Caenorhabditis elegans: one gene and its partner. The protein of the gene in region 1 purifies or fractionates together with the protein of each later gene. This does not show direct contact. Each region holds a gene or a part of one and is shown in the gene's direction. Other genes may lie near its edges.

Region 1 (15,105 bases):
TTTCTCAAAAAGCAAAATTATTAGAAATTCGGTGATTTACCAAAACTGACAAAAACTCTGAAACATCTGTAAACTTTTGGCGTATAAAGTACACACAATTTTTTAGTAATGGCTTAACGCAATTTTACTGTCTATGCCATGGCTGTGCGGCAACCGGACCATACATTTTTCCAAAACGCTCAAAAATATAATTTTAGCAAAAAAAAACTTTGAAACCTGGTTGCCGATTGCCGAAAATCTCGGTTGCCGCACAGCCATGGTTCATACGCTTATCTCGAAACTGCCGACCTAACCGGAATGCTCAAATCATAAAAAACTTCTTTCTAAAAGGTTTTGCCTGGGAGTTTTCCAAAAAATTTTATATTTCCTTTTTTCTAATGAAAACACTTCATCTTGCAAAAAACATTTAGAAAATTTCTAAACTAACATTTTTAAATTAATAACTTTTCAACCAGATGGACAACGAATGGTCTCACGATTTCACTCTTCCACTTTTAAATCTTCTCAAAACGACTGGCAACGAGACGGCCGCTTTCATAAAGGCCAAGGCTATTTGCACGTATGTTTTCACTTTCGAATACCCCGTTTTGTCCCATATCCGTTTGATGTCTCCGGGGACGTGTTCCGAACAAGTGCAGAGGGTTAGATGATGATGCTCTATGAAATGGGTTATGAGGTGACGAAATTGGTGGTGGTGGAGAATTGGCAAATGGATTCACGATAATGATATTCGTACAGCAATTTAGTTGCACATTACCCAGAATTGGGGTTTTACAACTTAAAAATGTTCTAAAAAAGACAACTAGTGATTGAGATTTTGGAAGCTTTTAAATGTTTCAAGTTGACCTAGTTTTTCTACTTTCCAGAAGCAATCGCTTTCTAGAGATCTGTGTCAGAAAATGCAATACATCACAAGAGGCTTCAATCATTTTGGCCGGTATTCGATCTTGGCACGATGCTTGTAATAATTTGGAAGGTTAGTTTTAACATTTTTCAATGTAACTATAATGGGGAAAATCCGACTAGACCATTTAAAAACCTGAAATTCCTCCACGTTTCCCTGGAGCTTTAAAAAATACCATTTCATTTTCAGAGGTCCGTGCACAATTCCCGTGTTGGAAGGAGAATGGTGAGCGGCTCTCAAGTGTGTGCAGAGATCAAACAGTTCGATTGGAAATGGATATGCAAAAGTTTGCCCGAAATCAGACTCAAGAGAATATTGAAACGATTTGCATGTAAGTCCCGAACAGAAATTGTTTTTTTCTAAATTGGAAAATATTTCAGCGACTTTGAGCATTTTTCCCATTGCTTTATTCAGGAGCACGGGAAGTATTGCGGCTATCGAAGTGAAGTGGTATTGATTTTAAATTTTCTTTAAATTTATGCAGTTTTAGGCAATTTTTTGCCGACTTTCCAAATTCATCTAAACTAATTTTATTTTGTTCCAGATAACTGCTAGAATGTTCGAAAATAATCGGGAGGCAATGTTCAAAATGCTGAAAATTCGTTGGAATACGCTACCAGCTTCATGTAAGTACAATCAATTGCGAAGAGACACCTCATCAAGTGACCGGTACAATAATAACAATGCTGCATCGATCACCATATCGATTATTCTTTTGCTTCTTCCGTTTGTGTTTTGAATTGTTTCTTCTTATCAAGTTATTGTGAATAAATGAGCATTTTTTTCCTTTTATGAGATTTATAAAGTTTTGAACACGGACTATGAGAGTACATTTTTTTATATGAGAGATGTGATGTATATGGGGTTGTCATGTAGGCAAGTATGGAAGGCATGTATAGGTTTTTTGCGAGTCTCCCACTACTCGCCAGTTACTGCCTATTGTAGGCATGCAAAGCGGGTCGGCCGACACGTAGGCAGGCATGTAATCAGGCAGGTAGGCAGTTGTCTAAACCCCACATTGAGGGACTTCTCTTATATTTTGGAAACAATTCCAGCTACTGCTGCGTGGCGGGAAAAAGAAAAGACTCGAGTCTATATATTCACCGGTAGTTTGAAAACTTGTTTGAAATAAGACTAAATTCTCATTACCATGCCGAATACGAGAATGGAGCATCAATTAGGCAGGTGTTCCGGTGCTTTCTCATTTTCTAATCCTCCCGTGACCCCCTTTCTCACTAAACGGAAAGGTTTCCCGCATACAAGCGTGCTAATCAATCCCTCTTTACTTCTTCCTTCCCCATTTCGCCCGTCCTCACATGGTTGCTCATGGCAACCACATGCAAAGTACCCCCCTCCTCTTCGTTTTGAAATCTCTATTTCTCTCATACGTACTTCATGCTAACCTGACGTCTCCAAGGAATTGCAGTGATTATAAAAAATGTGAGTATCTCTTTTCATCCTTTTTTACTTTCCATGGACTAGATTTTGCATCTTCTTTCTAGGTTATCGAAATGTTGTTAGGAGTCTTATTTTAATTGATGAAAAACGGCATAGGGAGAGATAATATTGAGACTTAAAGTGTTGAAACCTCTTATAATAATAATACAAAATTCCAGGGTATCCGCAAGGTATCCTATTGAAAAATGGAGCCGCCCACAGCTGGAAGACCACTTTCACAATGTTGTTGAAGAGCTCAACAAGGCACAAAAGAAGGTTAAAGAGCAGGAGAAACAGATTACAACGTGAGTAAATGTATTCAATTTGTTCCGAATAGAACTTTTACGTAGGCACAAAAATGCCTGTATGTCTTGAAAAAAATACCTACGTCTAATTTGTGTGAATGCGTATTCTAACTGCAAATTGACATTCGATTTTATTTTATTTTCAACTCATATTTCGTATTAAAATAGGTGGAAAATGGAGATTGCTTCAAATTTTTCAAAAACCTTTAGATTCCGTAAATTTGGCAACTTGCAGAAACTTGATTGAAATTTTCCAAAACCTGAAAATATGAAGTTGGTCTGTTTCGATATTAACGTAACTGCTCACTCCATCTTTAATCTGAAGTTTTCGGAAACATCCATCCACAGTAACCATCCTTTGTTCCAGATTCAATAGCAGATTTCGCCGAAGTATGTTGGAACGAAAAAGCCAAAATGAGAAAGTAGTGGAACGTTCGAAATATGACGATGTGGTGAAAGAAAATCAGATTCTTGATATGAAACTGAAAGCAGCCAAACAACAACTTTTGATCTACACAGCACCATCCGCAAGAGCTACAACTGCGTCAATGATGACTGGAAGATCAACTTTTCGTCAGCCACCATCAACATTTCGACAACGACCTCCATTAACTGCTGGAACTACTGGATCTATTGATCGGCCAGGTTCCGCTCCGGTGGCAAGAAAGTGAGATTTTGAATAATTTCTTAGACTGTAAATGTTCTTAAAAATAATAAAACTTAATGCAATGCTGTTTTCTTTTCAGAAAATCTGATGGAGGTGAAAAACTGCAACTTGCTACGGATGAGAAGCTCGCGATTGTCAGATTGAATCGAACTCTCAAGAATAAAAATGACGAAATTACAGAGTTAAAATATACAATTGAAAAATTGAGACAGGTATGCCTACATTCCAATTTCGTTTTTTATTGATTTTATATCTATAACTTTCAGCTAAAATCATCTGTAAATCAGTCATCTCCTCCAACTCGACTGTCTACATCATCATCCTCCAAATCATCTTCCTCCAACAACAATAATGACGGTGAAGGAAAAGACTCAGAACTTGAAGAAATGTCAGAAATGAGTGATGACGAGTCGGGAAGATCCACGCCAGTTATTGAAGAGAAGAAAAAGCCGAGAAGAAAATCTAGAAAATCATCACATCAAGAACCATCGAAAAACCCGATACCACCACCTCGTATCCCAGATCAAACTGAAAAAGTGCTGTTGGATAAGCTGAAAGTGGCTGAGAATGACTTGGCTATGCTGCAAGAGGAATGTGATTTAGTGAAAAAAGCGAACGAGCGGCTCGTGCATCAGTAAGTTTTTATCAATTCGGATATTATTAAAATCCCTTACCAAATTCAAAAATTGTTCAAAAAATACTATGGCATCATTTTTGACAAGTACTTTAGTTTTTAAATTTACACCACTGTAAACCCAATCACGAGTTTGTCAATTGACAACTTTTTCTTGTTAAAGCCAAGGCAAAGGTGATGTTTTCAAATGAAAATGGTTTTATTAAAAAAGTATTTTTGTGAAAATCGTAATAAACACATTTTCACATAATGGACGATATATTTTTGTCAATATTAACCATGCTAGTTTTATTGATTATATGCTTTCTTCCAGATCCCTATCAAAATCTACGGAGTACGGAGCACGGGAAAGTATAGAAGAAAAGAAAAAGATTGTTGAGCTAGAGGAGCTTCTTAAAGAGACTGAGAAAAGAATCAAGGAAAGTGAACACAGACGTCGTGAAGATCAGAAGAAGTTTGAAGCTATGAGATTGCATTATAAAAATAAATACGATGCTGCGAAGAAGACAGAGAAGAAACTTTCGGTAGTGGCGAAGAATTCTAAAGTTGAGGAGGAAAGGATAGAAGAGGAAAAGTAAGTTTTTCTGGTTTTTTTTTAAATGAAAACTGATTTGTGTGAGAAGCTTTTCCAACATTGTTCATGTTTGTAGCATATTTCTGCGAGCACTTGAAAAAGCAAATTGTAAATTTTACCAATTTTATTGGGAGTATTAAATAATTAAATGAAAAATAAATACAAAAATAAAAGTCACCGAAGGAAATACATGTGAAACCGATACAAAAAATATTAGGAAGTGATTAGATAGAGTTGGACTTGCGGAGGTACAGTGGAACACGAGATGAGCTGGCTGTCTTTTCGGTTGTGGTGTTCTTCTCATTGACATATTCTGGCATGTAGAATGGGTTTAAGACGAGCTTGGCTGGAGCAGGAGAAGAAAGCTTGAGTATCCAGCAGATGAAGACACGTATTCCGGGTCATATAACGAATTGGCAACCAGCTGAATTGGGCTTGAAGAACCGGAAGATGGGCCAGAAGAATTGCTGGAAACTCCAGAGTCTTGGTATCCATCAGAAGCGTAGTTACAGTAGGCTTCGGAATAGTGTTCCTCCATTGCCATTTGTTGGCGGAACACATCTTGGCAAAACATCATGAAATCTGCCATTTTCCGAGCATGCTCATCAAGACATGATTTCTGATGAACATTGAGCCGTTTGTTCCGTGGAAAGAATTGGAATCGACCCGCATGGCAATAGTAGAAGTATACAGGAATAGAAGTGTAGTCCATTTTCAGAAGACGACTGAAGTAAGCAAAGAAAAGTAGAGCTAGAGAGCAAACCGACTGGAAGATATAACCAGAATGAATTATATTTTTCTTCCGGTTAACCCAATGGTATGGTACGGTTAACCACACCCCTCGATTTTCGCGTTCCAGAGAGACACACCCTCCCTTACAGTCATCGTCTCCCTTTCCTATAAAGATGTGGAGCTAGAGGAGGTGGGGGATGGTTGTAAATCAAGCACTAATCATGGGAGAGGGAAAAGGGTCGTGAGAATCAAAAACAATTGGGATTTACAATGCTGTTTGTGACTAGGAAATCTAGAACCAAAAATGATATAATATAATTGAATCTGAAGATAGTACGCAAAAATAGATTGCATACAAAGTTATTAATAGAACCGGCCGTAATAAGGCTTAAAAAGTACACACTAGATAATGTTACGTTGAAAAAATCAAATGTTTTTCAAAATTAAACATTTTCAAAAATACTTTCTCTTATTCACAGGGGCTTTTAAATTTCGCCAAGTTCCGGTAATTTACATCTAGTAAAAGTTCCAAAATTTGACAACGATAGAAACAAAAATTGATGTAATAGATTGAAACAACTATCAATTGCTTTTTTGAGAAAAATGAAAAAACTAGTCGAGATATTCAATTTACAGGATCTCTCACTCCCCACCTCCAATGACATTTGAGCCAATTCGAAAACGGCATTCACAGAGTGAAATAAGTCGAATGCGAAGAGCTGACGATGATCTTCTTCAAAAATTATATAAAGAAGTTGCTGATATTCTACATTCTCATGATGTTGGAATCGCTGAAATTAATACTCTTGGAGCTAGTGAAAATAGTCTTGCAAGATGGCAAAAACTGTATTCTGAGCTGTACGAAGAACTCGAGAAAGTCAGAAATATGTTGTTGATTCAATATGATATCAATCAAAAACAAATGAAAGAGGTGAAAATTGTCAATAATTTTTAAAAGTATTTTTAACAAAGCAATTTCCAGATAAAACTGCTCAAAGATGAACTAGACAGGTTGAAGACAGTCAGCGCAGAAATACTTTCAAAATCACGGGAGGAAGTTGAAGAGAGGCAAAAGAAGATATTCATGCTTGAGGAGCAAATAAGAACAATAGCATATTCAGGACAACAGCCTGTTAAGCTATTGGCAAATCAGGTAATAACTTCTAGAACATTTTAAAAGTTGGTTGAACATTTTGGCACTATAGGAGCGGTTTTAAACAGTTTCGATATTCCACCTCAAAACTTTCAAGAGTGTTTTTATGTCAGAGTAACTGTGGTAAACTTTGTTCTGTATGTGCATGGATATACATTTTGGACAGAAGTTGTTATAAAAATTATTAGAGGAAAATATTTAAAAAAAAACCTACTAAAAATATAACTTGTTATTCAGATTAACATTCCAACACCTCGAGTAAACACGGATTTATCAGTAAAACTAATAAATGTGAAGCCATCTCCATCTCTCACGTCCAAGTTTTTCTTCTCTTTGGAATTCTTTGACTTCCAATTAGAAACCACTCCGATAATGGATGCAAAGCAACACAATATGGATTTCACAACGGTCTATGATGTCTTGGTTTCAAATCTTTTGATTCATTATTTGCAAACGGTAAGTTACATTTCATATTTTGTAAAAATGTTTGAAACATGAAGAAGTGTATTAATTAGAAAAAAAATTCGGTATTCAAACTTTCCAAAAAATTTCTTTAGAACTTGAATAATCTGAAGCCAATTTTTTTTAAACGAATTACTCCAATTCCCTTACAAAAAATGCAATAATTTAATTTTCAGAACGGAATAGTCATCGAAATGTACCGACCGGCAAGTGACTGCTACAAGCTTTTAGCCGCTGCCACAATCTCCCTTATTCCCTTGTTTGAGGACAGTGTTCTTCGAAAATTCTGCTCCGAAATTATGCTGAAATCCGTGGATACTGGCGTCGAAATGTGCACGTTGAGATACGAAATTGAAGTTTCACAACCGATTTCTGATAGCTTTAAGAAATTCAAGGTGAGATTGGTTTTTGGAATTCTGTACCTGTTGTATAAATTCTGTAAAACGTTGACTTGTTTTCCTTTGCCGCTTATAAATCTGTTGGCATATGTTCTAGACAAAAAATTTCTAACTGACTAATTATTTGTTATCTCCTGTTCTATTGTATTGTAGTCAATTATTTCCTGACATCGTTAAAATGAACCGAGATTTATAGTGAAGTAGTGAGGTGCAATACCAATAGAGGAAGCACTGTATTTCTTTTTTTATGAACTTATTATTTCTACTCCATTCCAATATTGTTATTCTATAGTTCATCGCAAATTCCCAGAGCCTCCCTTCCACTTCCTGCAGAGTCTATCATGTGTTCTTTCTCCCACGATTGTTGCTGGATTTACAACCATCCCCCACCTCTTCTACCTCCACCTTAAGAGAGACGATGACTGTAAGGGAGGGTGTGTCTTTCTGGAACGCGCAAATCGAGGGGTGTGGCTTACCGTACCTTACCATTGGGTAAACCGGAACAAATATCATTCATTCTGGTTTTATCTTCCAGTCAGTTTGCTCTCTAGCTCTCCTTTCGCTAGTTTCTACAGTCGTCTTCTAAAAATGGACTACACTTCTATTCCTGTATATTTCTACTATTGCCATGCCAGTCGGTTCCAATTCTTTCCACGGAACAAACGGCTCAATGTTCATCAGAAATCTTGTCTTGATGAGCATGCTCGAAAAATGGCAGATTTCATGATGCTTCGCCAAGATGAGTTCCGGCAGCAAATGGCAATGGAGGAATACTATTCCGAAGACAACTGCAACTACGATTCTGATGGATGCCAATCAGACTCTGGAGTGTCCAGCAATTTTTCATCGTCTGGCTCATCTTCCGGTTCTCCGAGCCCAATTCAATCGGTTGTCAATCCGTTCTATGACCCAGAATTCGTGTCTTCATCTGCTGGATCTTCAAAGCTTTCTTCTCCTGCTCCAAAAAATCTTGTCCCAAATCCATTCTACATGCCAGAATATGTCAAGGAGAAGAAGACCACAACCGAAAAGTCAGCCATCTCATCTCGTATTCCACTGTACCTCCGCAAGTCCAACTCTGTCTAATCATTTCTTAATATTTTTGTACCGGTTTCAATATTATTTTCTTCTGTGACTATTTTTTGTATTTGTTGTCTTTCATAATGTTTCTAATAAAAATTGGTAAGATTAAAGACTTTTATGAGAAATACTAATGAGGGAGAGTACATAATATTTAAATATCATATATTCTCAACATAAACCAATATAATTTTTTAAAAACATTTTCAGAAAAGCGAAATGGCTCGAAATATGCTCCCACTGCAACTTGAAAATGAGGATACAGAAGACACTAATTTCGACCCACTGACAATTATGGTGAACCGAGTTGTCGGACTGGATACTTTCGGAAAAGATCCATCAACTGAATTCTGTATCGTCGACGAGTTTTTGTCCTTCTCTCCGTATTTCACCGATTTTTCAACAAGTTCTGAAATAAGATCTAAACGGGATTGCTACATCCCAAAGATTGATATCGCAAGGAATTTGTTTGCAACTTCCGTGAGTTTTTTTTTAAGTTTCTGATTCAGGAGCTATAACTATAACCAGGGATTTCGGCAATTTTTTGCGAACACATTAAAAAACATCTGAAATTTTTATAACTGTGAATTATAAAAAATTGTTTGATTTTAAAGAAACCCATTCAATTTCCAGAGTATCTCCTTCTTCCTAATCGAGAATATTCCAAGACAGGACGGTGTCATTGCCACTTTACACCTTCCACTTCATCCACTTTGCAAGCTCGGTGGATCTATAAAAGGAACATTCCCAATGCTTGACACCGATGGGAGACCAAGCTCTGTATCGCTGGATCTTTGTCTAATTTGGAAACACGAAATCCCATCATTCTTCTTGAAACATGAACCAAAAGAACCACTGAAAGAAGTTAAGGATACTCCGATCCTTCCTCAACCGGTCAGGCGAACATCCAAAGAGTTTGTGGTGACGCCTGTTAAAGAAGCTGAACTTCATGATGCTGAGCCAACTTCCATGCCTCCAAAAGCTCCAGAGCCCACAACTGCACCGCTCAGAAGGTTGTCAACAGATTCATCAGATACATCATTCTCTCATAGCTCAAAAGATCTGTTTAGCCCTCCAACAAATGTAAGAATATTTATCAGCATTTATTTGAAGCCACATTTCTATTTTAGCCCCAAACCTACGACTACGAGATACCCGCAGTTACACCTGCGCTTGTTGATTCCGATGGAGAAGAAGAAGCTGATAGAATTGTATTCGATGATGATGATGACGAGTAATTTTTAATTAATATAGTTATTAAAGCATTTTTTTAATTTCAGAATAGAGTCGGTGTCAGCAGTATCATCCCAGAGAGATCCCGAGCCTCTAGAAGTTCCAGAGCGACAAGTAGAAAACCTTCCTTCTCCGGAGGATACACCAAGACCATCAGACCCCTTGAAACCAAATGGTACTAACGAGAGTAAGGAGTCTACACCAGTGACACAACGATCTGTTGATAAGACGGATGACGTGGCACCTGTAGATCCAGAGTTAGAACCAGAATCAGGGCCAGAACCAGAGCCGGTGGTGGAATCAGAGCCTAACGAGGTAGCTGAAACCGAGGAAGATAGAAAAAGAGAGTTAAAAACCGAAGAGCTCAAGAGCCTTCTTGGAGCTCTCCCTCCAATTGCAAAACCCAGGAATATACCGGTTGGACCAATTGCGTTGACTGAGCAACCAGAAGCTACCAGGCAACAAGGTTCAACAGGAAGAATTTTATTCACAGATCCGTTGCATTTTTCAGTTCCACGTGAGTTGATGATTTCAAATAATTTTTATAGCTTTTCATGTTTTGACACAAATGTTATAACGTGTTCAAAGTCGAATTCTAGTTATTTTATTACTGCATATTAAATAGAAGCCGCAAACCCTCGAATAGAAATTTCTTTTCCACATCCCTATTTTTGAATTTCAGCATCTGAATCCTCGTCAACTTCATCACCACGTCGCGCCGAAAAAGCACCTGTTCCACTGCCGGATTATGAAGGGCATAGTTTGATCAAAGTGCGAAAACCGTTGTCACCAACCGACAAAGATGTACTGGAACCGAATATGAAAGTTTCAATACAATTGGAAACATTTGAACTTGTTCCCGGATCAAGTCTGACTCCATTGACAAGAGAAGAGACGACGTTTTTCGTTGATTGGGTATTTTTGGATTTTACGAATGAGCAGTCGAAGAGTACGATATTTGATTTTCCGAGAAGACCACAAGAAATGGTGGATATTCGATATACAAAAGGTATTAGTTTTTTGAGATTTTTTATGGGAAGTATAAAATACTTATCTGCTTGATATCTATGGCCCCAGTTCAATTCAAAGGTATTGAAACAATTCTTTAAGCAGAAATATAGAACATTCAATTTTAAATATTTTAGCACTTACATTTTTGTGACAATTTTTTGAGATATGAACGTCTAAAGTTGGAGGACCTAGTTTTTGAACATGGTGCATCAAGAGCTCAACTTCAAGAGCTCATATCTCAGAGCTTGACTGAAACATTATTAATTTTTTTAATGTTCATTGAAATGTGGCGATTCAGAGGATGAAAAAATAAAATTCAAAAATTCTTCTAAAATGTTTGGTTTTTTTTTTGAAGTACGTTTAGAAAATAACTTAAATGCCACTCTCTAAAGTTAACCCCGATAATCTCAATTATTCAGAATACACCCTGACGCGTGGTCAACTTTCTCTTCTCGATCAATGGATCCGTGCTAGCATCAAATTTGAGTTAACCATCATCAAGATCAGTCCAGGCGACGAAGAGGAGCTCGGCTTCGGAAGTTTGATTTTAGTGCCAAACAACACACAGAACAAATCGTTTGTAATTGATGGTTAGTCATTTGTCGTAAGTATCTCATTCTTATAATTGAATTCAAATTCAGTTTACGATCGGAGTGGAATTGTGCAAGCCGAGATGACATTGACATTGCATTTCTCAAGAGCATTAATTGAACAATTGACCTGAGAAAATTGAAAAATACGGTTTAAATAATTTGTTAGATTATATTTTCAACAAATTAATAAATATTTTGGTTAAAAAAAAACTTGTTCAGTATCGTGAATTGTGGTTGCTGGAGAGCAAACTAAGCAATATTCTATACTCTTTTTTAACATCGTTTGAAAAATTGGTGAAAAATGAAATTTGCATTTTCAAACTTGACGTCCTACTTACAGCACAAAAAACGCTTAGGTAACTATCATATCTTGGCAAAATAATTACGATTTTAAAATGTTGCCGACGGAAAAATGTATTTTGAATTTTTAGTGATTTGTTAGTTGACTTTTTTTGAATCCTCTTACCGAAATGGAATAGATCCTCAAGAGGATAAAACCTCATATACATAAACTCGAAAAATAATCGGCCTATAACGTAATTGGCTCTGACTTTCAATTCACATAAAAATGTATCTAAACCTAATTCAGCAATGCTATTTTGTCTCCAAAATTGCATGTCTTTGTGTGACGCAATAGCAAAAAAAGCTTAGCTCATTTTTGTGCATTAAATGTGCTACAAAATCAAAAAAAAATCATTTATTCAATAAATTTAATCAGTTTTATTTATCAGTGTTTTTTCAGTGTCAATATGTTTTATATGGTATATCACTATAAAAATATACTTTCAGAATGGATCTTCGAACATTTGCTCTTGAGCTTTTGGTTCATTTGAAACTGCCGTATTTTCAATCTCGCTTTGTTTTTCCTGAAAATGCCAATATCAAATTAACAAATGTATGATATCAACTAATAACATACCGCCACCCTCTTCTTCTTCCTTTCCGAAATCTCGATATGTTGATGTGGAGCCAAGGCTTTTGTTGTTTGTGCACTCTTCTGTTTTGCTCTTTCCAATTCAAATGAGTCAGTCATTTGACTAATTACTGTGTTTAAGAACTTCTTCCAGACGTCTGTGATTTGAGATGTGGTGTAGTTTTGAGCAAATCGCACTTTTTTGTTCTCTTTTCCTTCTGATGATGGAAGCTCCTAAAATCATATTTGTTGGGTGAAAAGGTTTTTTGTTTTACGAGGGGAGATTATGAACTTTTTTAGAAAAAAAAACCAATTTAATTTAAACAATCTTATTTCGAATAGGTATCTACAAGAATTTATAGGAAGAGGATCACAAAGAACTAAAAAATCCGATCTGAAGTAACATTTAAAAATACTTATTTGAAAATATTATTCTAATTTTTTGAAAAAACCCGCAACTATTTTGCCCAACTGGATCAAAAATTGCACCTTTTTTAAAAAGAAAAACAAACATTTTTTTGAAAACAGCTCAAGTAATTTCCTCGCTCACAAACATCCTAATCTACGTTCGGGAAAATTTTCAAAATGCTTCTCGACCGCAAAATTTCTTTTTCGAATTATATAGATTTTTTCAGAAATCAAGCTCAATTAATTCCTTTATTAGAAAATAATTTGATTGAGTTGTACTCCAAATAAACCTTCCAACAAATCAATTAGTTGAACTTTCAAACTAGCTTGACCTAACTGATCCCACAATCTCACCTGTTCACCCGTCAGAAATGGAATTAATCGCTCGATAAATACATTTATAACAATTTCGAAATAGTTCTTCTCCATCTGGTTCTGATTTTGTTCCAAGAAACTGAAAAATCATCAAATGGCATTGGACTATATAATCATACAAAGTGACGGCATTTGCACCTGCGCACTTACCCTTGTCTGACATGACTTCTTCCCGTTTTTCGTACCAATTGCCATGCACCCGTCAGATTTTCAGACGTGCCAAGCATTGACGTGAGCTGGAATAATAAATTTGAGTTCAAAAAATACTCTTAAAAATGTAGTTTAGACAGCTAACCTGCTCCATGAACTCATAGAATCTTAGAATATGCCCTCCGAATTTCGGCATTTTCAGCATCGCGGCTCGCGGAGCCCGATCCACGCCAAACACTTTCTTGAGGTCCGGTTCAATATCATTGACAATATCTAAGAATATAAGACCAACAATATCCTTCGGATCATCTAGCCTTTGCCAAGTTTCACGTAACAGAGTACGGTCTTTTTTATTGAGGGCTAAGTCAAATGGATTTTCAGATTCGTTTCCGACCCAAGATGCTCCGACTTGCTGGAAAATAATTTTTTAAAATGTTCTGTGCGTCTTTAAAGAGTACTGTAGTTCTCTATTCTTATGTACTGTTTTTTTGAAAAGAATGTAAAAAATCCAAAAATTTTTGAGAAATGTTCATCTTCCGAATCAAGCTCAAAACTCACGGTTTTTTTCTTTTTCGGTGCACATAATGTGGCACCCATTGAAAATATATAGATTTATAACGATACTTGTTTTATTAAAAATCTTAAGCACAACTTCTCATCACCTCAATCAGGAAATGTTCTGAAAATTTGAAATTGAAAGACTCTGAAAAAGGAGAAGGAGTGAGTAAACATGAAGAAGACAAATTGAATAAGCCTCAATTATGACGTGGCAATGGAATGATGATTGGATTTTTTGTGTGTTGAAGTAGTCATAAAACGGAAGACGGCTGATTTTTTATGGGATGACGGGGAACAGAGCAACATAAATTCGCGTTCACAAGGCTGAAAACTAATTTGAATTTTGGCTTAAATTGTGGAAATGGCCAGTTAGATCTTGGAAATCAAATAAATCCTAACTGAAAATTTAGCCATATTCATTGTGGAAAAAATTAGATTTTTTAGGGTTAATAATTTTGTTTTGAAAAGATCTCAAACTTTTCCTATGACCCAAAGCATAATAAAAAACTGTAGATTTTGAGAAATCTTTTAAATCTAATTTGCCTTGTTTAAAATGCTTCCAAGCAGTATAATTTTTGTGGGGACCTATTAAAATGAGCTTTTTTGAAAATCCTAATTTTCGATGAAACATTTAAAAAAATCGAAACTTTTCCTTGTCAGCTTAACACTTAAATTTGTCAAAATCTGAGACTAGACTTGAGTTTTCTCGGGGATCTTTTCCGAAAGAAAAGACGCATATCAAAAATCAGTGTTCTTCTTCCCAAAAACTTATAGAAAGTATGAATATAACCAAATGATTGCTTTAAAAAAGTGAGAAGAAGGCAGAAGAGGGAAAAATACGAAGAAGTGGGATAAACAAAGTGACAAAAAACTGCGAAATTATAGTAGAGAGTTCTGACAAGAAATAATAAGGGAAGAGAAGGAAGTAGGTGAACTATTGGTTTTTCGAATGTTAATGTTATAAATGTATTTATACGTAGGCTGTTTTATTACTTGTTAGAAGCTTGAACTCAAGATCCGGCGGGAAAAGTGTAACAGGTGCACGTAAAAGTTCAGTGGATCAAAGATTTCTGGAACGGGACAAAATTTGTGGAGTTTGAATTCAAGTTATTTTGGAACATAGTTTGCTGGTGGGGCAGATTTATAAACGGCAGTAGCAATTCATGGTCTACCGGCTTCCTAGTTTCTGGTTATTTTCTCAAATTTTTGATTTTTGCCCATTTAATTTTTTTAAACATTTTCACTTCAAATTTTGTTAAACCACGGTATTTTAAGTCCACAATTGAATTTTTAAAGAATTTATCAGAAATGTTGGTTAATCTCCAAAATCGTTCTCCGCTCTCAAAAACCAAAGTGGACGTTTGCCTCCAAAAAAATGGAGAAAAAATGAAATTGCGATTTTTGGGTTGAAATTTATATTTTTTAAAAGCTGAGAACATGTTATACACGAATACTATGTCCATTTTGACACCCAGAATATCTGAAAATATCTAAAAATTGAAGCATGAATATTTTCAG
Region 2 (15,377 bases), on another chromosome or scaffold:
TTCTTTGAGAAAATGACTCATATAAAATAAAAATCTTTACTCTAACTTTTCAAAAATTAAAAATTAAATTTTCAATGAAAAAAATAAAAAATCCTTTCGCAAAATAGCGAGAAACAAGTGTGGTGGGGCCTGTGAGGCCTTTCGGGTGTTTACTCAACGAAAAAACAAAACAATTAATAGGGGATTATGTTTCACATGCCGGCAATTTAGGAAATAACTATTTTTTAAATAAAATTTAAGAAAAAAACAAATTCGAAAATTAAAATTTCGACCGAAAATGAAGAAACTTAGTTTTTATTTGCCATGTTGAATATATGTTTCACACTCAAAAATTTTCAAATAAAAAAGTTGCGAAGCCAAAAAGTCACAAAAAGCAAACTTTTGAGGTATTTGCGAGTGAGAAGTGAATATGGTGAAAACGATGATTCCGCACCATCAACCGGTGTACGAAGACACTGTTAAATATAGAGAGAAAGAAGACACATAAAGAAATGATGATTCAGTCGGGTTGGCCGGTCGGTCAGTCAGCGGGTGACGAGTGAGCGGAGAGAAGGGTATAAGAACGGACGAGCGGCGGGAATAGAGGACGAAGAGGCAAGGACACTGGTCAATGGAGATGAAGAGACACAGACATTGGGACGGACGGAAGCAGGACGGTTCCCTTCGGGATGAGCAGAGACTCGACAGATGGAGAAGATGACCGAATTGAGTTTGTTTGCCCGACTCCCATGGATTATAAAATTGGGTACGTATGGCCTATGTTGGGGCAACTGCAGCAGCAGCGTGTGAGTGTGCGCCCCGGAAATAAAGGACTTTTATGGAAGGAGTATTGAGAAGATGATGGAAAAGGGACAAAAAGTTTCCCTTTTGTTTTGACGTCTTCTACGTCTTATTCGGAGATTTCGAGGGATAATTCTGAGGGATATGGAAGGACAGTGAATTGATGCATCATCATCATATTCTTATATTGGGTATTGAAATTTAAATTTGAATACGACCGAAACAATTTCTCGTTTCAAAAAAGTGGAATCTGAGTCATAGAGAAGTCTGAATCACGTTTTGTACACGGCAGCAGCTGTTTGTAAACTTTGAATCGCGGGGGTGAACTGAAGTGAAAAAAAAGAAAAAAAACTAGGAAAAATCAGGGAAAGTACATTTTTGAGATTGCATTTTTCTGAGAACCTGAACTTTCTCAGATGATATCAACAACATTATTAATCACTGCAACACGATCTGTGCTATTGTAAAAATATGTTCAATAATAATTTGATTTAGAGTCTATTTTGTCCCAATTTTAAGAGGTTTCTCCTGTCTAAACTTTCATAGACAATTTACGGAAATCTAGTAACTGTTGCCGGCTTATTGAACTTTTTCACTGGAGTTACTAAGATACTTATAGAATTTTTACGAAGTGTGGCCAAGATGTTCCTCAATTCAGCTTGACCCCAGGTAGTAATTTTTAGGAACCTTTCCAGTTTACATTTAAAAAGTTTTGACCAATTAAAAAAAATTAGTTGTGAGTTGTTTCCAGAAAGGAACTGGAGTTTCTCATCCAAAGTGGCTAACCATACTTCGTGGAAAATTGTGATTTATATTTATTTAAAGGATAACGGCATCATTTCAACATTTCAAAATAGAAAAGTACTTAGTTTTCTGTAAAAAAATTTCGAAAAAAAAATCAAGTGATTTGATCTAATCTTGTTCTAACGACGACTCTCAATACAAAATGCAATAGCATAATCAAAACTATTCAGTATATAAACATTTCCCAACAATTTACACATTACATCAAATTAATGCTCAATATACGTAATCCAACGTGTTCCCAGCAGCTGGGACTTCTCATTTCCATGACAACCAGCACCCGCTCTCCAATTCGTATACTCCTTCTTTTCACTCTCTATCGTATTTCCTCTATCGTTCTTCTTGAACGTTTATTTTTTAGTTTCTATATATTATTGCCTAGAAACTAGCTGAAAATACTAAAGTTTGTGGTAACAAAGTCTCGAAAAATGTCGGTCAACGACTGGTATTCGTTGTTTCTGGCAAACCGGCCAGTTGAAATGAAACGTAATGTTTCGAGAGGAACTAAAGCTTTGTGTTATTCAATGTTCATTTCCAATTTGACATCTCCACAGGTATGTGTAAACGATATAATTAATTAATATATGATTTTAATACTTTAGCTGACTGAGAACATTCGATACCAGATTAGTGCTTTTTTATTCGACACGAAGACTTCTCAAATGTTTGGGAGGCAATGTAGAACAGAATGGATTCCAGCGAATAGTAATGGAACTTGTGTTTTTAATGAAGTAGAAATTGTACAAGTTTGTTTAATAACTGGAATATGTTGCAGACATTATATTTTTACTCAATTATAAACAGCAGAGATGTGCTTCTTATTCTTGAATTTGTGGAAGAAGGATCAGACGAAATAAGTAAGTTATTTAATTGTTAAATTTTTAAAGGAACATTTTAAATTTATTTATCATAATGTTTTATTGGCTTTTCATTCAAAATAATATTTGAAAATAGCTTTTTAGCTCCTATTTGTCTTTCAGTCATTATTTTTTTAAATAACTTCTCAATAATTCAGAGAATTTTCCGAATCATTATGACCATATGTTTCAAAATAATGCACAATTTAGTAAATTTATACTAACATAAGTTTTATATCACGATAAAATAAACTCGCATTAAAAATAAACATTTGGAAATCACTAATTGAAACATTTTTCTTCCTTGCATAGGGCAAATACAATAAATAAATTAGATTTTAAACTTTTCTAGATGGAAGAACATTCGAAAACCCGAAAAGTACAAAAATTACAGCGCCTGCCACAAGCGTTGGATGGTTTTCAACGCATATCGAGAAGAAAACGCCCGTAGAAATATCAAACACTAAAATGTGAGTTTTTTTAATTATTGCTCCAACATAATTTTTCTTATTACTTTAGTTTCGATATATTTGGTGGAACTCCAAAACTATTAATTTTTGATAAAGAAACAGTTTTAAAACCAGTTGGAAATGTTGAATGTACATACAACATATTCGAAATGCCACCCATATTCTTCCAATGTTTGCCTGAATTTTGCATTGTTTGCGACAAAGACATTATTCCTGGAATAATCAAAGACAGTTCTGATGGTTAGTTAACAAATATTCCTTTTTTTAATTTTTTAATGTTTTGTGTCAGAATGGTGGTTGAGCACGCCAAAAGAGATGCCAACAATTCCCGCTGCAATTGATGCAATTGTAATTCAATTCAAGAATAATGTACCTGAATTAGAAAAACAAATTACACATGATATTGAAAAAGAATGGGCATTGAAAGAAGGAGGAACTCTTAAACCAAAAGCAATCATAATGGATAGAAAATTGAGAGTGAGTTTTTTGGTGAAAAGTTGGCTAAAAACATGATATTTGCTGTTACACGGAAGGTGCAGTGAAACTTAGGAATCATTTTTACATTACTTTGAATTCGTCCAGGTTTTCAAATATTTTTGCAAGAAACAAGTAATCGTTTATCTTTTTATTTATACTTTATTATTAGATCGGAGTACACAATGGGTACACATATGTCACTGAACCATTCACAGTTGACTTGGAAATAATCTCCTCAAATGCTGGTGATACTCTAAGATCGCGAAAGAAACCTATTGACTTTGGGAAATCATCAAATTGGGAAGAGTAAGTTTTAAAATCTTGTCCTGTCGTAAAAGAAGAATTTTTCATAATTTCATAATTTCAGACAACTGCTATTTCAAGCTGCTGGAAACCCGCGTCTGGCACTTCGAAATCTGTATGCGGATCCAAGAATGGCTATCATATTCTTGCTTGAATACACCTTTCACCGAGAAGACAATCAAAGCCTTAATCAGACTATTCTAATCGGATGGGCTGCATGGACTCCATTCTCAGATGGAGCCTTTTCTGGAAAAGAAGTGGAGACACGAGTTAGCTTTGTTGGTGGTCCACGTCCGAATCCAGAAGGCGTTTTATGTTATAAGAACGTATTGAATCAACCAGACTCCTTGAAGCCATTGAATGAGAAACTTGAAATTTTTGTGGACTTTAAATTTTATGAAAATGGAAGAAGTGTTCACAATACACCAACATCAAGAAGGGCTGCTGACTCTGCAAGAGTTCAAACTGGAAGATCAGGCGATAATGGCCAATCTGCTAGATCAAATAGAAAATCAGTGAAAATAGAAACTCCTAGAAGTCCAGAAAATTCGAATAGATTCCCTGCACTAGTAGATACAGGAAGATCAGTTTCATCAGTAGATGAATTGAGATCAATAAATGAGGATTTGAATAGATTCATAGAAGAACCAATGGAAATTCCAGTTCAAGACGTAGTTGTTGCAAAGAAACCAGTAGAAGAACCTCTACCAATAACATCAGTTTACAAGATTCCTTTTGATGAGCTCAAACCAATAAACTTCCCAAGATCTGCCCATTCCATGTTTGCGAGACAAAACTTCACTCAGTTGAAAGACAGGAACGGATCACCACCAAATACTGAAGATGTGACACTAAAAACCATCATCGATATGAAAAGAGAGCAATTGGACAGACTCATTACATCACATGTATATTTTCAATTTATTGCTTTCAAACAGTAAGTTGAATTCTTAAAAATTCTCAATGACTGAAGTCACTGAACGACAATCATATTTCAATTGAGTAGTTAATTTTCTTGAGCTTGGGGTCAATTTACTTATCGCATAAAATTGTTATATTTTTCTATTCAGACTAGATTTTCAAGGTCAAACGCAACAGTATGTATTTAAAAAAAACTACAACTACAACATTTTAGACTTGCTGCTCCTGATGCTCGCATGATTAAGAAGTTATTTTTCACAATCGGGTTTTACCGATTCCCCGATATTACAACAGAGTCAATGCTTCTCACATCTATGGAGAAAGGAGAACCAACCCTTTTAACCCGACTTGATAAAAATGGGAATTCGGATGTTATAGCTTCACCTGGATTCATAGTAAGATTCCATGTCTTACATTTAAAAAAAGAAACGTTTCAGGCAAAATATATAATCGAAGGAGAAGAAAGCAAGGCTGACTTTTTGGATTTTATGGCTTCTGGTCATGCAACTATTGATGTATGGGATTCAGACTCGTTGATTCACTTGGGATCAACTATTGTGCCAATCAAGAATTTGTATCGAAGAGGAAGGGAAGCTGTTCAGTTGTTTATTCAATGCCCAGTGGTTGATACATCTTTAGACACTTCATCAAAAGCTGGGGCTTTCCTTTACATGAGAGTTGCCAATATCGGATTTCCGTCAGGCAATACATATGGTAATATTTTTCAAAATTATTTATTAAATTAGATAAATAAGTGAAAAAGGAAATTAGTGAGCCCATGTCTCAGTGACAAGCTCGTAAACTGGCTCTGGCCATTGAGTAGCTGTCTCGACTTCTTCTGGTTTATTCTCTTCAACAGTTTCTGGAGTCTCAACGTTCTCAGTGATCTCAACTGGAGCAATAGTTTCTGGGATCTGCTCGATTTGTCTAGCTTCTCTTTGAACCTTCTCGGCGAGCTTGATCTTGAGAGTTTGGAGGGAACGACGCTTACGTCCTCCTCCTCCGCATCCGCAGCATCCGCATCCACATCCGCATCCACATCCGCAGCAGCATGGACGACAGCAAGTGCAGCAACGGGTGCAGCAGCAAGTTCTGAAATATAGATATTATTTGGAAGAAGGTAATAAAATTATAATTGAAAAGTTCATAATTTCAATGAAAACAACAAACCTGCAACAAGTGCAACATCTACGACAGCAGCAACAGCAACGTGGACGGCAACAGCAGCATCCACATCCACATCCGCAACATCCACAACCTCCTCCCTGACGTTTCACTCTTCCATTTGATTCTCCAAGAGTATCAATATCAGTTGTTTTGACATCTGGCAGAGCTACTTCGGTTGTTTCATGTGATCCAGGTAGAGCCAAATCAGTAGTTTCAGAAGACTTCAAAGCTTCTCTAGAGCTCAATGGATGTGCTTGAACTAAATAGGACAAACCAAGAATAGCTATGAGGCTAAGTGTAAAACGAATGGATTGCATGATGAGTTATGGGAACTGATGAAACTTCAGTCGGCTGAGAGTCTTATTTATACAAACCTTAGGTGCCGGAAGACTTCCGGCAGATCCGCGCGTGTCTTGTTTGCACATGTTTGCTTATCACCTAATCGTAATTCATAATCTGTCAAAAACTTGCAGATCTCTCCTCCTCCTCTTCATCGCTGACTACCACAAGATCCAACGTAAACTCTGGACAAGGTACAGTAGTCCGCCGACTGACGTCATCAATCCGGTTAAATGAAGAAGGACCCCATTCCTATCGAATTCACGCAAAACCATTACCTGGTAATAGTGGTGTTGGACTAGATCGGTTTTTGACAGCTCAGAGACTAGATATTCAACAACGGCATGAACAATTGTTCAATGAGAATAGTTTGGATAAGATCAGACAATGGAATGATTTAAAAGAAGGATTCAACTTTTCTGATAATAAAGAAATTGCACAGAAATTCATTTTTGAAGAAGAGCTAGCTGCATACAAAAAGCTTCGATATGAAAGTAAACCTGCAAAACTTCTTGAAGCTGTTTTCAAAGGTTAGATGATTTAAATATTTATTAAAAATACGTCTGAAAAACTGTTCCGAAATACAATGGTTACCAATATTCCATACGCTTTCAGTTTATCTGTAACTTTTTCAATAGATTTGTTTAATTTTATCGATACTTAAATCAAATTTTCAATAACACTCTCGTTCGAATATTTTTGTTTGCAGGTATTACAAGTTGTCACCAAATAAATCCCAGTTTTGGAGAGAAAGTATTTTTTGAATTTCCTCTCGAGAACTACAATTCTGAACCAATCAATTGCACCATTGAATTTGATGATGAAGCTTTGAAACCAGTATTTGATGCAGAAGAATGGAAATTTTACAAAACAGTGAACAAAGTAACAACTCCATCAGAAAAGCAAATGATGAGACAAACAACGGATAGAATTGAGATTTGTCTTCAACCTGGGGATGTTTTATTTATTCCATTTATCTACGACGCTTTCTTTTTCCCAAATGATGCATTCAACATGTACTCAACAAAAGTTGTATTTAGAAGATGGGATACAAAAGAACCACTAGCAATATTGGATCTCCACGTGCATCGAAGAAATTTCCTTCTTCAACATTCAGTTACTTTTATTTGTGAAACATCTGGAAACTGGGAAAAACAATTAGTACTACCACCAATGGCCAGAGACAGAAGAGTTTTGTCATGTCGATGCTCTGATCCGTCTGTAAGACTGACTGTTCGAAATGCGACACTACAACAGATTGTTGGATTCACAACATATTCAGGGGAAACGAATGATCGAAAGACGTTTCTTTTATTGATGTATAGTGATCATTATCAAACAAGGTTGTCGTTTTAGTGGAATAATTTTATTGTAATACAACTTTTCAGATTAATGGCTACCTGGAAAATCACTATTCTTCCATTCTTCAATGTTGATGTTCGTAGTATTGTTGGGCAAACAACTCGTCTTCATTTATTAGTGCACAGAAGAAGGTAAGCCATTTTAGTTAAATTTTATTACTGAGAAAGTATGAGAGTTCGTATAAATGCAAAAAAAAAGAGAAAAAGAGTCGATCGCAGAATCTGAACACTAGAAGCACGCCACTCATTAAGCCCACTGTGCAAAGTACTGACGGGTTTTTCTATCGTACGTTGATGGAAGATAATTGTCCTTGGTGGAGCAATAAAGCTCACGCCAGTTTTTAAAACGACGATCCCAGTACTTTGGTGTTAACCAGTAAGCATCAAGAGTAGTGTGATTGATTAGACCTGAAATTGAATGTTTTAAAGAAAATTTCTACAAAAGCCTGTGCTCACATTAATATCTAGTGTAGAGATAGAGCGGCGAAAAAGGATTAGTAGTACCGTAAACTGCCAAATTGTTCTAAAATAAAGCAACAATTGTATTTGGTAAAAGTAATGGGCACTGCCCTGTCTCTACACTACCTTAGACAGTGGTCAATACCGGTACAAACCTGCCTTGTACATGGAAAGGCCACGAGAAAGGGAAGTGCTCAATGAGTCCATCAAGTACGATCTGAAATTTGAATTTTTCTTTGGTTTAAATAATTTTGATTTGATTGAAAACTTGGCTATTGAAAACATATTTATCTTATTCAATTTGTAGACTATGCATACCTATACGGGGTGTAGGTGTAGTTCAAGTAGCGGTTGAAAGCAGAATCAGTGTATCGACGGTAAGAGGATGGATAGTCATAGTCATACCAATATCCCTTGTAGCGAGTCCAATAAGATCCATAGTTGTTCCAATAATATGGATTTGGAAGATAATCACTGTAGGAATATCTTCTGCTTGGATAGTAGGTACTGCGATAAAGTGGAGAGAAGTAATAGTATTTGTCATACCAGTAGTCATCGTACTGAAATTTTAATTCTCAAAAAATAAAAGAAAGCCATCTCATACCAAATCCCAGTCACGACGCCAGCGGTATGGAGTCGATTGGTAGACAGTATGCCATTGTGGACGGTACTTATCCGAGTAACGGAAGTGAGCGGTCAAGTCTGGGACTGATGAAGTGCGGGTGACCTGGAAAAATGATGCATTTGTTTTTGTTACCTTCACGCGTGATCTCTTAATTGGCACCTGGTGCCAACGGGGCTAAAGTGATGATTGTGTAACATTATTGAGAGAGATAAACCAGAAGTTGAAAGGTTTTTGATCAGTTCATAGTTAATCAGGATTTAAGTGAACTTACGTAAAGACGAGAGCTCGGTTCAACCGATCGAGAACGGACAAGTGCGCTGCGAGAGCGCACCAAGGCGTAGTCGGTCATACTGTAATTGTAATTGATAATTTTAGTATTGTACTAGTACTAGATTGAAATAATAAAAAATTACAAGTGAGAGCTTAAATTTGATCAAAATACATAAATAGGAGTTTCATTGCATTTCCCGAAATAAATAAAAGGTACCATCAACATTGCGCTTATAAGACGATCTTTGTATTAATTTTAGTTTTTTAACCTTCCACACCTTACAAAATAGAAGTAGCACAAACTAAAAAATAAATCACACTTTTTGATATCCAATGTGTGAACTACAAAGTTCAAGTTTTAACAAAAATTAAAAGAAACTAAACCTGGAAACCATTTGGCAGGCGCCTGAGTCGGTATTTCTGAATGGCAGATGTGCCCCTTGTGTGCTCTCTTGTCCTCTTCTATTTTCTATCTTTCATGCCTCTTCTTGATTCCTAATCTTTTGCGAAGGCGGAGGAGGACGATGTGCCAGTTGTTTGGTCCCCGCGGGAAGAAAACAAAAAATAAAAATGCTTGGATTCCAACACCTGGTCGCTCTTTTTCTCTCCCACACTCTCATCTGGTGGGGATTCAGAAGAAAACAACACACAAAAAATGAAGAATAGATGAACAATAAACAAAATGATAGGAATTACGTTCTTTATCTGTTTATTTTCAGCGAGCATGATGGAGTGCCAGATGATTTACTGAAAGTGTATACAGCATCTGGATGTATGAAAGTTGTGGATTCTGTGCTCACTGAAAGAACACCTACAGCCACAATTGATTTTACACCAAACTTTATTGGTAAGCCTTTAATACAACAAAATGTGATATACATATGAGCACTTGCGTACTGTCAAATCAAAAATGAAAACGTTTCTATTTACCCGTTAAATGTTCAGAAAATTATTTACAATATCTAAAAGTGCAAAGAGCAATACCGTTATTCCACACAAAAATAGAGAAAAATACACCAAGGATATTTGTCGTCAATCTTTACTCAACTCTTTTGGGTTTTCTAAATTTGCTCTATAAAACATTAACCATTTAAAATGTAAGATAGCAATAATTTATTTAATGGTTCCATGGGAACCAATGTTAAGATCTAGTTCATTTTGAATAAAATAAACTCGCTAAGAGAAATGGTAAGAAAAATGATAAAGAGTTGAACGTGTAAGACGAGTTTCCACATGCTTTGAGAGGAGTCCCGCATAACTGAAAATATGCGAACTTTGGTCTATAATGAGAAGATTATGCTTACCGTCATCATATCCGAGTAGTTTGTAACTGTCATATTTGAAAAAGCCACTGCCAATTGCGACACTTCACAAGGTTCCGGGCATCGGGAAAGCGGAATTCTGTATGGATCCGATGTAGTCTCATTTCGATAGTAGAGCTGAATAAATTAAAATGAACCATCAGCATTAATTTGAAAGAAAATATAAATAATTTTTTGTTAACCAAGTTTCCTAATAAAACTTATTTCAATTGAACAACTAACCTCAGAATAAAATTTTCCGTTGTCTGAATAAACATGCATGATAAGTGCAGCCGCATAAGGAACCATCATCTCATTTGAAGCACGGAATGCATTGAGAAGTGCAAGAAGAACACCATCATGCTGAAATTAATATAATAGATTTTCTCAGTTTCCATTAGATTTTACCGAAGAATAAAGAAGCATTCTCTGATCATTTCTGCTCTCAGAAACTGCAATTGCATTTTGAATCCAATTGTAAAGAACGGAGCCTCCTTCAAGTTTTCCTTTCTCTTCTGAATTAAATAGATTCATCATTCGAACGGTCCTCATTTCAGTTATAATGTCCATTGAAGTACGATTGTCATATTGAGGCCAGGTTTGTGTAACCCAATAAGGCTGTTTTGCAGTCATGTTATGAATCAACTCTCTTTGTATATCGAATAATCCATTAATATCCATATATGAACAGTGTTTGAATCCTGTAGTTTGAGAAAGTTCACTGAAGAAGTCTGCATACTTAACACTATAATAAGCGTTTGATTCTTGATCGCCTTGAGCCACTAAAACTTCATGACGAGCACATTTTATCGCAGTTGGTTTGCACACCTGAATCAGTTTATCTTAGTAAATGTAGTCTATAATGAATAGTCACTCTCCGGAAATAGAAATTGGGCTTCAAAATGTTTTATCAGTTGTTCTTACGTACTTTCTAATCTCTTTTGTCTTTCTGACGCATTTGTGATAAAACCTCATAAGAACAACTTTAGTTTAAATCTAAAAATCAACGGTTACCAAATCAGGTTCTCCTGGAGTAGATGCATGTACTGGAAGAGGTTGCCAGTCTATATCTGAGCTCCATTGATAACCACCAGAAGCTGGGTATAGCCCGTAAAGAAATGCTTGTGCAGATACCAAAGCACGATCAGAATCGGAAGAGCGCAGGTAGACCTACAAATTTCAAGAGTTTAATTTACAGATATGGTATTGAGTTTCTTACTTCTTTCACTGAAAAATTAGACGGAATAAATGAAGAGTCCACGTATTGGTGTCGGAAGAACTCTCCGAGCTCGTGAAGTTGTTGCATTCCAATCTAAAATAAATAGGTTTTTAAGGCAAAGTAGCGCCAGTGAAGGTTTTGTCAACGTGTATTTGAAATCAATCAGAAAAACTAATTAAAACACTATAAGATATTTGAGATTTTCATAATTTATAGTCAGTTCTAAAAAACTATATCCAAAATTTATAACCAAAAATTTTGACACTTTTCCTGTGATATTTGGTTATTTGAGCGTCACTGGGAGATGTTAAACATTTTTTCTGCTCCGTTTTTTAGGTCACTCTTTATAGCTGAAACAAATTAAATGTAATTATAATTTTATTGTGATATGATAGAAGATCGCGTAAGAACTCACAAATATTCAACAAGTACATTTCTTTAAAAGTTTAATAAAACAAACCGAAGTCAACTGCCCCCATCCCCTTGACCAAGCTTTTTCTGTGTACTGGTCATTTGGATACGGTAAGTGTAGAGGAGCACGGTCTCCATGTCGCCACAGTGCTTGTACAAACTCAAGTTTCCTAGATTCTATATTATTGAACACGGCAAGAAATATGACAAGTCCTTGTATCAACATCATCACGTCGTCTAGAAATCTCTGCAAAAAATTGAAAAAGTGAATACCGGACAGAAAAGTCGCAAAAAAGGGGACGAGTTCTCATGCAGGTCTATCAGGTTACATACAAGAATCGCACGCTATCTGATGACGGAAATTCTGATTCTTTTGACGTCGTCGAAATTGAGACGAGTATGTTCCAAAATAGAGCAAAAGTGCGGTGTAGTTGGATTTAAATAGAAAGTGAAAGTGGGGAGGAGTCGAAAGACTGTTAATTGTATGAAGTTTTGTTATCAGTTAACATTTTACTCCCACGGAAAAAAATGATTTTTTATCTAAAACGAATACTGGGTTTGAAGTTCCCGAATTTGGAAACAAATACGGAGAATTTTGTCGATCGGTCTTGAAATTTTAGTGCAGCAAAAAACAGTAGTGCCCGCCAATGTTCTATTCGCTGGTAGCTTATCGATGATGTTTGTGGTATTTTCTAGCATTTTTTACAAAGTTATGTATTTTCGAATATGCTACCTCACCTAGCACCTCGCGAGTTTATTTATGACTACTACTCTTTGAATCCATGTAACTGAATACATTTTTATTCAACCCATTATAATCAAAAAATAATCTACATACATCTATTGCTTAATTTTAATTGTCATGTTCTTAAGTCGTCAGGAAACTTACATTAGGGACACAATTTTAACTTGCAGAATGCAATTATGATCGAATTGTTCCGAATATTGCTTTTCAGCAAAAAAATTGTTTGAAATATATATATTGATAAAGAAATGACAATAAATCGAAAGTTAGGAAAGATCATAAGTACATTTATTTCAAAAAACGAACAAATACATCCAAAAAATGAAGCTCACAAAATTGATACGGTCGAAAAAACGCAAAAATGTTATCTCTCCTTGCATTTTAATCTTCTTAGACATACATCAGAGCCATGAAGAAAATGTTCAGTATAGTTGCAAAAATAGTTGATTCCACGTGCAAACTAGGCGCATCCAGGCGAGAAATATCCACAAAGTCATTTAAAATTCCAAATTTCACAAACTCATCCGATTAGTACCCCCGCGTTTTCATGACCTCACGTGTTGTTTCAGGAACAAAGAAGCTTGTCGTTTCTGTTGTGAATACCAATACATTGAAGTTAGAACGAGGGTTTTTGGTTTACGGAAAGTCTGAAGCGCCACGGATTACGCAGAAGTTTGTCATACAAATTCCATCATCTGATGAAGCTATTAGAAAGGTTTGTTGAATTTATATAATATTGAATGTTAAAGATTTTTAGTTTGGATCGACAGTAATTTCCAAACATTTCAAACTATTATTTTAACTAAAATAACAAGAATTTTTTAAAGTCAAAATCGCTCACTAAATTTAATTTTTTTGGGGCATGAAACTGTGATTTTCATGATACTTCTTTATTTGGCTAGCATGCAACAGACAACTTTCAGAATAAGGTAAAAAATCCGTTCAAACTAAACACATCTAACATTAAAATAAATAACATTTTTTCAAAATTTGTGTACAGTAAGAATGTTTTTGTTTACTGTTATTCATTGTCATGCTAGCAAATAATTAAAATTTGAAATGAATCAGAGAAACAACAGATAACAAAATTCAAATTTAGACTATAAGGAGGTTTTTTTTCAATTTGAAAACAAACCGATGGACTGAACAACTCAAATGTATGTGTGTTCTCTGTGTTGGTTTCCGAGAACTTTAAGCATTTCCCTGACAGTCCTAATAAGTCAATGAAAAATATTCAACTTCTTAGAGTGTGAAAAATTTGTCGAAGAAGTTTATGTATAAAATAACGAAGTACAACTATTTTCCTGGTAGAATAGTCTAAAGCTCTTACAACAATCATTAATATTATAGAAACTGTTCATCTCAATTGATTTCAATTTTACATAGTTTGAAAAAAAAACAAAGTGAGGTCCTTTAGAATATGGCGTTTTCTAGGGTTATAAACCTATTTGGATATTGTATAATTTAAGCTTATATGAGAAATCCTTATTTAAATGATTTTACAGAAAAAAAACCAATCTGGGGTCATAACCTTTTTTTGACGAAAACCCTTCTTTCAGAGAATCCCGATAAGAAACCCATATGGTTTACCAAAGACATTCCGAATCACCACATCAAATTCTGATATTGTAAAAATTACGGATAGTCTGTTGTCAGTTCCACCTATGGGAAAACTTCCATGTGAAATGTATTTTGTGAAGAATACACATCTTCAAAAGAATATAGAGGTAATTAACTAATCATTTAAATATTTACATTCTAGTATTTCAGACATTGTTGTATATATCAGATGCGGAGACTTATGTACAAGAAGAAGCATATTCAATCACACTTGCATTCGAAGCTTCCTGATTTTCAAATTGTCTCATTGCAAATTTTTATTTTTTGTGATATTCCGGTTGAAATCTTGAAAAATGAATTCTTTATTGAAAGACTTTTGGCTCGAAAAAAGTGACGACTCAACCACTTGAAGGCTCGACTCAAACCCGCTGATGCTCGATTTTTGAAAGTTGCTCATGATAGGAATACAAGTAAAATAGTGTGAAAAATTGAAAAAATAAAGAAAGAAATGATAAATCAGCAAGATTAAGTGTCTCGCTTTTACTTCTTTCCATAGCTGTTTTGGGCATGTCCAGTGCCACCAGAGTATCCACCGGTTCCAGCAGAATAACTGGCTCCTGGAGCATTTGATGGGTTGTGGGATGGAGCAGAAGCGTAGTTCTCCTGGAAAGTTTTGAAAAGTGTTATTTAGATTCTAATGATTATCCTACCTTTGGAGCGTTTCTGTCTGGGCATGGACAATAGGCAGCATCGTCTCCGACCTTTCCATCTTCTCCTGGCTTTCCTTCCTCTCCTGGTGGTCCACCTGGTCCTTGGAATCCGTTGATTCCGTCTGGTCCTGGTGCTCCTGCAGCTCCAACTGGTCCATCGTTTCCAGCGTCTCCTTCTGGTCCTGGTGGTCCAGAATCTCCTGGTGGTCCACGTGGTCCCTTTCTTGGTGTTGGTTGCTCGACATCTTGTCCTTTTTCTCCATTCGATCCTGGCTTTCCATCGTCTCCTGGTGGTCCTGGTGGTCCCATCTCTCCTGGACGTCCTGGATATCCATCGGTTCCTGGAGATCCTCCAGTTCCACGTGGTCCACGCATTCCACGGAGACCTGGCTTTCCACGCTCTCCTGGAGATCCTGGCTTTCCTGGAGCACAAGTAATACATCCATTAAATGGAGCATTTTGTGAATCTTCAGCATTCTCTCCTGGGAATCCATCTTGTCCATCAATTCCTGGAATTCCGTCAGGTCCTGCAGATCCTTGTGGTCCTGATGGTCCAGCTGGACATCCTCCGGTTCCGAGAGCATCGTCTCCGTTTCCA

The links.
Region 2: the proteins of mks-5 (region 1) and nphp-4 purify together in Caenorhabditis elegans (affinity purification with western blotting, with the first as the bait; one study listed by BioGRID). This does not show direct contact.

What each region holds. Positions count from the first base shown.
Region 1 is NC_003280.10:10,717,937-10,733,041, forward strand, and holds mks-5 (Protein fantom), read left to right. Parts: upstream 1-2,294; 5' UTR 2,295-2,342; coding exon 2,343-2,344; intron 2,345-2,520; coding exon 2,521-2,646; intron 2,647-3,013; coding exon 3,014-3,313; intron 3,314-3,392; coding exon 3,393-3,525; intron 3,526-3,579; coding exon 3,580-3,947; intron 3,948-4,260; coding exon 4,261-4,521; intron 4,522-4,852; coding exon of another isoform or gene 4,853-5,233; intron 5,234-5,889; coding exon 5,890-6,184; intron 6,185-6,235; coding exon 6,236-6,406; intron 6,407-6,643; coding exon 6,644-6,862; intron 6,863-7,044; coding exon 7,045-7,263; intron 7,264-8,556; coding exon 8,557-8,826; intron 8,827-8,979; coding exon 8,980-9,429; intron 9,430-9,476; coding exon 9,477-9,580; intron 9,581-9,626; coding exon 9,627-10,096; intron 10,097-10,261; coding exon 10,262-10,588; intron 10,589-11,009; coding exon 11,010-11,180; intron 11,181-11,231; coding exon 11,232-11,314; 3' UTR 11,315-11,393; downstream 11,394-15,105. Other genes in the region: C09G5.13 (DUF19 domain-containing protein), read left to right, coding at 456-559, 867-976, 1,094-1,235, 1,285-1,354, 1,449-1,643; C09G5.14 (C2H2-type domain-containing protein), read right to left, coding at 4,853-5,233; glb-12 (GLOBIN domain-containing protein), read right to left, coding at 11,969-12,049, 12,103-12,330, 12,859-12,958, 13,030-13,115, 13,175-13,441, 13,588-13,626. UniProt on the Caenorhabditis elegans protein: Thought to have an important role in cilia formation and cilia-mediated chemosensation. Involved in the docking of other MKS/MKSR proteins localized to the transition zone of the cilia.
Region 2 is NC_003283.11:11,830,261-11,845,637, reverse strand, and holds nphp-4 (uncharacterized protein), read left to right. Parts: upstream 1-1,909; 5' UTR 1,910-2,012; coding exon 2,013-2,138; intron 2,139-2,186; coding exon 2,187-2,315; intron 2,316-2,359; coding exon 2,360-2,441; intron 2,442-2,835; coding exon 2,836-2,911; intron 2,912-2,960; coding exon 2,961-3,151; intron 3,152-3,200; coding exon 3,201-3,388; intron 3,389-3,557; coding exon 3,558-3,694; intron 3,695-3,755; coding exon 3,756-4,628; intron 4,629-4,826; coding exon 4,827-5,007; intron 5,008-5,049; coding exon 5,050-5,326; intron 5,327-5,334; exon of another isoform or gene 5,335-5,379; coding exon of another isoform or gene 5,380-5,704; intron 5,705-5,782; coding exon of another isoform or gene 5,783-6,096; exon of another isoform or gene 6,097-6,118; intron 6,119-6,252; coding exon 6,253-6,648; intron 6,649-6,827; coding exon 6,828-7,461; intron 7,462-7,506; coding exon 7,507-7,611; intron 7,612-7,617; exon of another isoform or gene 7,618-7,726; coding exon of another isoform or gene 7,727-7,887; intron 7,888-7,935; exon of another isoform or gene 7,936-7,936; coding exon of another isoform or gene 7,937-8,002; intron 8,003-8,064; and 37 more. Other genes in the region: idpb-5 (Intrinsically Disordered Protein, class B), read right to left, coding at 5,380-5,704, 5,783-6,096; R13H4.2 (uncharacterized protein), read right to left, coding at 7,727-7,887, 8,094-8,155, 8,257-8,498, 8,543-8,665, 8,835-8,913, 9,218-9,228; pho-8 (intestinal acid PHOsphatase), read right to left, coding at 9,987-10,091, 10,138-10,272, 10,378-10,497, 10,543-10,962, 11,149-11,304, 11,354-11,446, 11,814-11,993; col-158 (Nematode cuticle collagen N-terminal domain-containing protein), read right to left, coding at 14,610-14,732, 14,780-15,377.